Linked DNA regions of Solanum lycopersicum. The protein of the gene in region 1 interacts with the protein of each later gene in a pairwise test. Links are inferred from orthologs where the notes say so. Each region holds a gene or a part of one and is shown in the gene's direction. Other genes may lie near its edges.

Evidence for each region.
Region 2: the proteins of FTB (region 1) and FTA interact in binary tests that used the Arabidopsis thaliana proteins (3 or more experiments, as listed by UniProt). The link is inferred for Solanum lycopersicum from reciprocal best matches to the Arabidopsis thaliana genes ERA1 and FTA.

The regions. Positions count from the first base shown.
Region 1 is NC_090801.1:65,768,615-65,772,442, reverse strand, and holds part of FTB (farnesyl protein transferase subunit B), read left to right. Parts: intron 1-71; coding exon 72-107; intron 108-746; coding exon 747-829; coding exon of another isoform or gene 830-910; coding exon 911-964; intron 965-1,449; coding exon 1,450-1,501; intron 1,502-2,128; coding exon 2,129-2,193; intron 2,194-3,508; coding exon 3,509-3,565; intron 3,566-3,715; coding exon 3,716-3,788; intron 3,789-3,828. UniProt on the Arabidopsis thaliana protein: Catalyzes the transfer of a farnesyl moiety from farnesyl diphosphate to a cysteine at the fourth position from the C-terminus of several proteins having the C-terminal sequence Cys-aliphatic-aliphatic-X (CaaX).
Region 2 is NC_090805.1:47,713,398-47,717,836, forward strand, and holds the start of FTA (protein farnesyltransferase/geranylgeranyltransferase type-1 subunit alpha), read left to right. Parts: upstream 1-1,392; 5' UTR 1,393-1,485; coding exon 1,486-1,722; intron 1,723-2,245; coding exon 2,246-2,355; intron 2,356-3,589; coding exon 3,590-3,710; intron 3,711-4,439. UniProt on the Arabidopsis thaliana protein: Essential subunit of both the farnesyltransferase and the geranylgeranyltransferase complex.

The DNA.
Region 1 (3,828 bases):
TTGGACTTCTCGTTCAATAAAATGCGGTAAGATTTAGTTTCATGTGTTGTTTACTGTTACCTTCCTCACAGGATAAAGATGGTGGCTATGGAGGTGGACCTGGTCAGGCAAGTCAAATTCTCCCACTCCAGTCTTAGTGCCGTTAAATCAGATTTGTGTCAGATTCTTCATGCTTATTTTCACATTGAGTTTGATTATCTGATGTCTTCAATTGTTTTTAATATGCAGTATGCTGCTTTATTTTGTGATGATGGTTGATTTGAATATTGTAAATTTGTTAACTCTATAATTCTGTTGGAGGACTTATAATTAAAAGATAATTCTATTAGAGGGAAATAGTCATCTGTATTGATATGCATTTAACTATTGGCATGGTCAGTGGTTTGAGCTTGGGACTTCCACGTTGGAGGTATCCAGTTCGAAACGGAAACGCCTTGCCAGCGAAAGCAAGGGGTTTGCCTTCTGGGTCGAGCTCGCATGGTGCGAGTTACCTCTCCTATGTAGTTTGCGAGCTATTGCATAGGAGCGGGGTTTTACCCTTGTCATTAAAAAAAAAAAGACTATTGGCCTGGTTCTTGTTCTTTTATAAGTTAGCTTGAAACTCTTTTTCTGTTTCTTTTAGAATCACAAATTTAACAGTTCCAAGCTTCGTTTATTCTGGTCAACCTGTTAATTTTATACAGTTCTTGTGCTTCTTATCATTAAGGTTCTTTGAAGTAATACTTGTATTGTATTGCTTTTTTCAGATGCCTCATCTTGCAACTACTTATGCTGCAGTCAATTCACTAATAACTTTGGGCAAACCTGAAGCTCTGTCATCAATTAATAGGTGCACAAGCTATAGTATGTTTTTGTTGGTGTCTTATCTATTGTTCATTCCTGTTGACATTGATCTAGTAATATGCCTCAGAGAAAAGTTGTACACATTTTTGCTGCGAATGAAAGACGCAAGTGGTGGATTCAGGTAGGATGCTTTCTACTTGTTTACATTATTTGATCAGCTCCCCAATTCATGTCTTCCCTTGTATCTCATTCCTAGTCTGCTGTATTTATCTACTATCAGTTTCTAAAAAAAATCTAGGTGCTTTTCTTTCTATTTGTAACTTGTTTATCCATTTTAAATTTGCCATCTCTATGTTGTATGTGCTAATGTTTTCCATTACTACTGATTCTCCTGATTAATCCTACCTGCTAATTTTGTTATGTTTTCCTTCTGAGGAGAACTAGACTTTTGGGTGAACTAGCACTGTAGTTGACACTTTTACCCTGATCTGTAAATGTATAAATATTTGTGTGTGTATTCTTGAGTTTGTAGATCCAAGTGTATTTAACGAACAGCATCTGAGAGATCACTTGTTTCTAGCATTTTCTTTCAATATTCAAGTTTCCTCAAAAATGACTTGCCACTTCCCATCTTTGCTAAGTTCAAACTTCAAATATTATCTGCAGGATGCACGATGGTGGAGAAGTAGATGTTCGTGCCTGTTATACTGCCATTTCTGTAAGTGTGATCTCCTTGTGATCTGAGTTCTGGTCATATTTTCATTATTTTGCTGCACTTGGATGGAAGACTCTGAGATAAGCTTTAAGCAAATATAATTTTCTTATTGATGAATCATGCAAGCTACGTATGTGAAACTTATCCTTCGGGGTGGCCTAGTGGCTTGGGCTTGGGACTTCCATGTTGGAGGTCTCAAGTTCGAAACCTTGCCAGCGAAAGTAAGGGGTTTTGCCTTCTTGTTTGAGCTTGTTGCACCGGGCTTGCCTAGTGCAGCTTACCTCTCTTATGTGGTTTGCGAGCTATTGCATAAGAGCGGGGGTTTTACCCTGTGCGCACCCAAAGGGTAGTGGTTGCGGGTTTCCCTTGTCATAAAAAAAATTAAAAATATGTGAAACTTAACCGTCTCTTTAGTTTTTTGAAAATAAATTAGATTCGAACATTTCCCGAATTTCATTCACGAGGCAATCAAAGCCTTCTGATACACGCCTCTCTTGCAAATCGTATAGATATTTTATACTTTATTACATACACATTTCTTGCATGTTACATTCTCAAGTTTGACGTTTTTCTTCTTAATTGTCTTTGGAATAATGTGCTTTCATGTTAATTGATACATTAGTTTCTTAGGTTGCAAATATATTAAACATTGTGGATGACGAGCTGATTCATGGTGTTGGAAATTACATCCTAAGGTTGGTTTGAGATGCGCACTCATCTGCTACAGCTTATTCAACTCTCTCTTTATGTATACCGTATTCATACTCAAGCTGTAATATCTCTTTTTGATTTACTAGTGTAGTTGTCTTCCAAGAGAAATTACACGAAATTAAAAGAGCATGGCAGAAATTTGGGAGTTTTAGAGGAGTGTAATCTGATAAAAAGATAACTATCAGAAAAGAAAGCAAGTTATATTACAAATGGTTGTGAGACTAGCGATAATACGTGAGTGATTGTTTTCTATAAAACCCAACATGTTCACTAGTTAACTGTCATGAATTATAGATGTTAATATGGATATTTGGTCATACAAGCTTGAAAATCAGATTGGAAATGCTCACCTCCAACAAAAGACGCAACAAGATAGCACGCATAGAGGATCATGAGTGAAGATTTGTCGAAATGGTTTAATTATGTTTACATTAACCTTCGAATATACCAGACTAGGTACAATACTGGAATAATTGAAGTTGCTATAAAGGCAACGAGGTAGATTCTAAATTACATGAAGAAAAACTGTTTAAAGACCTACAATCACCCAAAAGCCATTACATCAATTAGTTGAGATTAAGGAAAAGAAAAGAATTAGTTGTTGTTAAACTTACATTAGGTTGTGTTTGCCAGAGGTCCTTTTGTGTGGTAAGTTATATGTTTATGGCAGAGCAGGTGTGAGATTTTAAGAACTAATATATCTTAAAGGCAAAATATTGAGTATTGGGATGACACAAAGTAATGGATTTGGAGTATTCATATTACTGTCACCAACTAGTCAGTGCATGTTGACTAGTTAATTATACATACTAAATGCATGACCGAAGCTGGTACTTAAGTTGCATTGAAGGGTTTCTTTGAGATTCGATCCCATTGGTAAGAGAACAATTTTCCAAGTATCATTTCAGAACGATGTTATGTTTGAATATTCATGGCTCTGAGTTGATGACAGCCTCCATTTGTCAGGGATTAAAATATGAGAGATAAGTGATGTTTCCTAATTCTTGCCATCTGAGAAAGTTGAAAGTCCTTGAATAAAAATTGATGAAGGAACTATTCTTTTATTCTAGTTTGTTCTTATTCTTGTTCTCTGAAGTTCTTGATTTAATCCTAGTCTCATCATAAGAATTATTTAGCTAGGATAAATAAGAATTTATTCTATTTAGTGTCAGAAATACAAGATAAGAAGCAGGTGGCAGATCTTTCTTTTCCTTAATGTCCCTCATTTTTTGTTTGAAATATTAAGAATGTATTTTCATGGATAAGCCTTTCCTAAGCTGTTCTCCGTTTTTGCTTCAGTTGTCAGACTTATGAAGGTGGAATTGCTGGCGAACCAGGTTCTGAAGCTCATGGTGGGTAAGTCTCACGTTGGAGATATTCTCATCTTTCTAATCTTGTTTCGCTCTTTTTCTTATAGTTCTCTTTCAATGTTAGTTGCCGTAGTAGAACTATCACTTCTCAGCTTATGATGTTACTGAAGCCCTTTACATTTAACTCATTTTCTAGGTATACTTTCTGTGGGTTGGCTGCAATGATTCTGATCAACGAAGTGAATCGATTGGACTTGCCAGGTTTAATTGTAAGTTGCTTTAGGACTCTGTTGGGGACTGATGAGTGTT
Region 2 (4,439 bases), on another chromosome or scaffold:
TTTTTTATCAATCGAAATTAATTACTTGAAACATGTGCATGCAATTACAGAGGAATTTGAGAAATTGATGTTAGTTGCTCATAGAATCGACTATATAATGTTGATATTTAAAGTTGTTGATCGATATCAATTTTGCTAGAACTGTTTGAATCAATATATAACGTTTTAATATCATGTGGAGAAATAATAATAAATTATTATTAATATTTATATTTTAAATTTCAAATGTAATATTATATTTTACACAACATATTCAATCTAATTCATAATCAATGCCTATGTATTTGATTTAATATGTCGTGATCTCTTTTAATACATTTAGATAGTAACAATAATATTTTGTGGATAATAAAGAAAAAGCTCTTCAACTTTAAAACATATTTACTTATAAGTATCAATTTTATTAAGGGAAAAAGTATAAACACATTTTTAAACTGTCATAAATAGTATAGGTAGATATTATTTATTATTCTTTTGAGATATTGATTTATCTGTAGTTAAAAAACTAAAGCATATAATATGGACAACTTTTACATATAGCAAACAAAAAATTCATATTTGTATGTTATAGCAAACTTTGCATAATTGCGTTCCATAGCAGACATAAAACTGTATAATTTGCTATACATATACAATTGTATAATTCGTTGGCCTAAATTGTATAATTCGCTGGCCTATTTCGCTGCAATTGTATAATTTATTTTGCATACAGTTGAATCGAATTAAAATGCAAGTATATTGCATAATTATAAGTGTATAGCATGAAGATATATGTTTTTGTTGCTTTATACAAAAACAGAAACACAATATATATACTTCTGTTGTATAAAGCTAGAGAAAATTGTTTTTCACTGCAATTGTATAATTCGTTGGCCTTTTTCTCTGCAATATTTGAAGTAAAATGTTTGTAACTTGTATAATTAAGTGTATAACACGAAGATATACATTTTTGCATGTGTATATACAATTTTCTCTCGCTTTATACAAAACAGAAACAGAATTATACACTTCTGTGTATAAAGCCATAGACGCGAGCGAGATTTTTGGGAGAGAAACGCTGCAAATTTTAGCTAATGTTTGCTATGGAGCATAATTAAATCAAACTCTAGCTATTCCATTTAATTTAGATTATTAGTTTGTTATTATATATAATTTTCCCAAATATAATGATATATATATTTTTAGTTTTTGTATAGTAACTACATTAATGTCCTAAAAATATTACTAAACGTTCGATATATTATTTTACTATAATTTGAAAATATATATATTTTTTATTAATAAAAACATGAGACGGAAAAACATATAACAATATTTGAATAAGCATTTAGTCATGTGATATGGGATATGGAATCTAGACTTTATAGTTCCTTTTATAATTGAAATACGTTAATATTAATTCTATATTCCTGCTACCCCGAAGGCAATTCCAGTATTGAACTACCGCCGGCAGTTTTCCGATCGGATCCCGGAGCCGAGTATCAAATGGACAGTTGTGAGGTGACGAAAACGCGAATTCCTTTCAAGGAAAGGCCCGACTGGGCCGATGTGAAGCCCGTTCCGCAAGACGACGGGCCCTGCCCGGTTGTTCCCATAGCCTACACAGAAGACTTCTCTGAAACCATGGACTACTTCCGGGCAATTTACGTAGCCGATGAGCGATCTACACGCGCCCTCCAGCTTACTGGTGAAGCTATTCAGCTAAACCCTGGAAATTACACTGTAAGTCTGTAACTGCAATTACCTCTTCCAGTTATATCATTTTGGTTGCCTTAATGCAGTATTGTGGGAAGTTTTGTGGGATTATTTTGGTATATAATTGAAATTTTTGTGTGTAAAAATGTGTAGAGTTCTAATTTGAACTTAAAATGGAAGTTCGTGAGGTAATTGGATTAGAATCCGTATACATCATTGAGGCTCGAGGAAGCTCTAGAACCATAACACTTCTTATGGGTTTAAACCAGGATTTAGTTGTATATCTAACTAAGTCTATATATACCTTTTTCTTTCAGACACACGCACAAACTATACATGGACACACTTAGTGAGACACATGCATATAGGGTTCGAGCCTGGAGCTGTTGTTCTTTGGTTTTTCTATATTAGTTTATCACATACACATCTAAACACTCATATATATGGTGCACACTAGTGACATACATATAATGGTGCACAATAGGATGCTGCTTTGTAGACTATACTGTACTACAGAGTTGTTAGTTAACTGTTAATTTTTCATGTTTAGGTATGGCAATTTAGGCGTGTTGTGCTGGAGGCATTGGGTGTTGATTTACGTGAAGAATTGAAGTTTGTTGATCGCATTGCTGGGGAGAATACCAAAAATTATCAAATATGGTAAGTTGAAAATCAGGTCTCTGCTAAAGTAAAGGTGATGTAATGTAAATGCTTTGTTGACAAGTGACCGATATTGCCTGTCCAAGGCTAATGGATATCACATGGAGGAACTGCATGATTGTAGACTCTGTCAGTGAACTGAAAATGTTGTACTGCACAAAATTGTCTGCATGGGAAGACCAAATTTTGTAGATGAAAATTGGAATTAGGAAAACTCATTGACAAGGGAAATCTTGGTTATTAAACTCACTTATCTTGCAGTGGGTCTCAGGTTCTTGAATGCCGTATATAGCCTTGAGTCAGTACACTGCCTTGGCATCACTTGAAACATTATTGAAAGGTGATTATGAGTAAACGTATGGATTCTTTTTGTGAGTGTTAAATTTGACAGCTAGGCTTTGTTCGTTTGTTTGAAAAGGATTTTGTTTCAGAAATCTATTTCAAGAATTATAAAAAAAATATTAGGGATAAAATTTTAAAAACTTGGTAAATAAAAGTGCTTATAATCTGATAAGTCGCAAATTGGAGTTCAACTTATGATTTTTGGTCGATGTTGGTTTATACTACAGATAAGCCAAAAAGTGCTTATAAGCTGGATTTATCGCATTATAAGATTATGCAAACACACTCAATATCTATTAAAGTTACGTAGAACGTGATGGTTTTCTCTTTTCTCTTGTTCCATTGTGCTTGGATGAAATAAGCATTCTTTGGCAACTTTGGATGTTAAGCTTGAACGGGGTCTAAGCTATCATGGTTGGTTTGACCGTGACTTACTACTCAAGCTCTTAATATGCTTTCGCTTTGTCATCCAACCAAGGCTCATAATTGTTTTCCTTCTCAAAGCTAATCCTTGAGTTCAAATTTGATCTTTGTTTTTTAAAATATACTTTTTAAAGTTTATTTTTGGAAGTACCATCCTCCGTGTTAATTGTCTTTCTAAATTTTGAGTTGGCCCACATGCTTTTCACTTTTGTACAAATTCTTGCGACCCATGTACACTTGCATGTTGTCCGTGTCTCAAGATTTTCTAGGTGTTTTTTTTTGCCTATGACTTTCTTTTACCCTTTTCAGTACCTATGTGTCTACATATTATACTTGACTCTGTTATAGCCTTAACAGAAAAAGAAAGTTTTTCCTCCATAGGTTATTCTTTATCTGTTGAATTCTTTATTTGTATTTAGTTGTAAGTATGCACACGTTGGTCGAAATTCTTAATTATAGAAATTTACAGGCATCATAGACGGTGGCTTGCTGAGAAGCTGGGAGCTGATGCTGTGACAAATGAGCTAGAATTCACCAAGAAAATATTTTCTCAGGATGCAAAAAATTATCATGCTTGGTCCCATCGGCAGGTTGTCTTTGTATCCCTATTTTTTGTTTCGTAAAAGTAATGACATTGCCTGTTTGGAAAAGCTCTTTTGCATGAGTTGTGTTTCATGGTACCAAAATCATGTTTTAGATTATTCAAGTCCATGAATTGAGCCAGATCCTAGATAAAATTGACAAGATACTAGGTCAAAGCAGGGTGACTTAAGATCATATTAAATGTTAGGACCTCCCTCTTCCTATGAAAGTTCATTACATTTTATTTGGATTCTTGCTTCGGTGTCACTTAATAAACATCTTTCTTGTAATTAATCCCAATTATATTTTGCCCTGTAACAGTGTTTCAAAGGAGATATAACTTTGAAAGGCCCAAACTCTCCTTGGACTTCACAAGTAGAGCGTAATAAAAACATGGGCTTTAATATAAAACAATTTCCAAATGATGAAAATATATTAATGCAAGAAAATTTACTACATACATGAACTTTCTAGCGTACACACGGTTCCTTTCGATTGGAGGCTGTCGCTACCTGGATCAATCAGCCTATTCAAGTTCACTCACTTCTTAAAGAGAAGAGTGTATAAAATTCCAATTGAATAAAATATATGAGGTAAAAATTAAATCAATTTTAATATTCATTTTACTTTCTGTGTCAGATGCAGCAGTTTTAAGTTTTTGATTTGGGAGTAGAACTAGTTTTCTTGTGTTAAGTTCCTTATTTTGTTTACCCAAGGGTGTGGCCTAAACCTTGGTG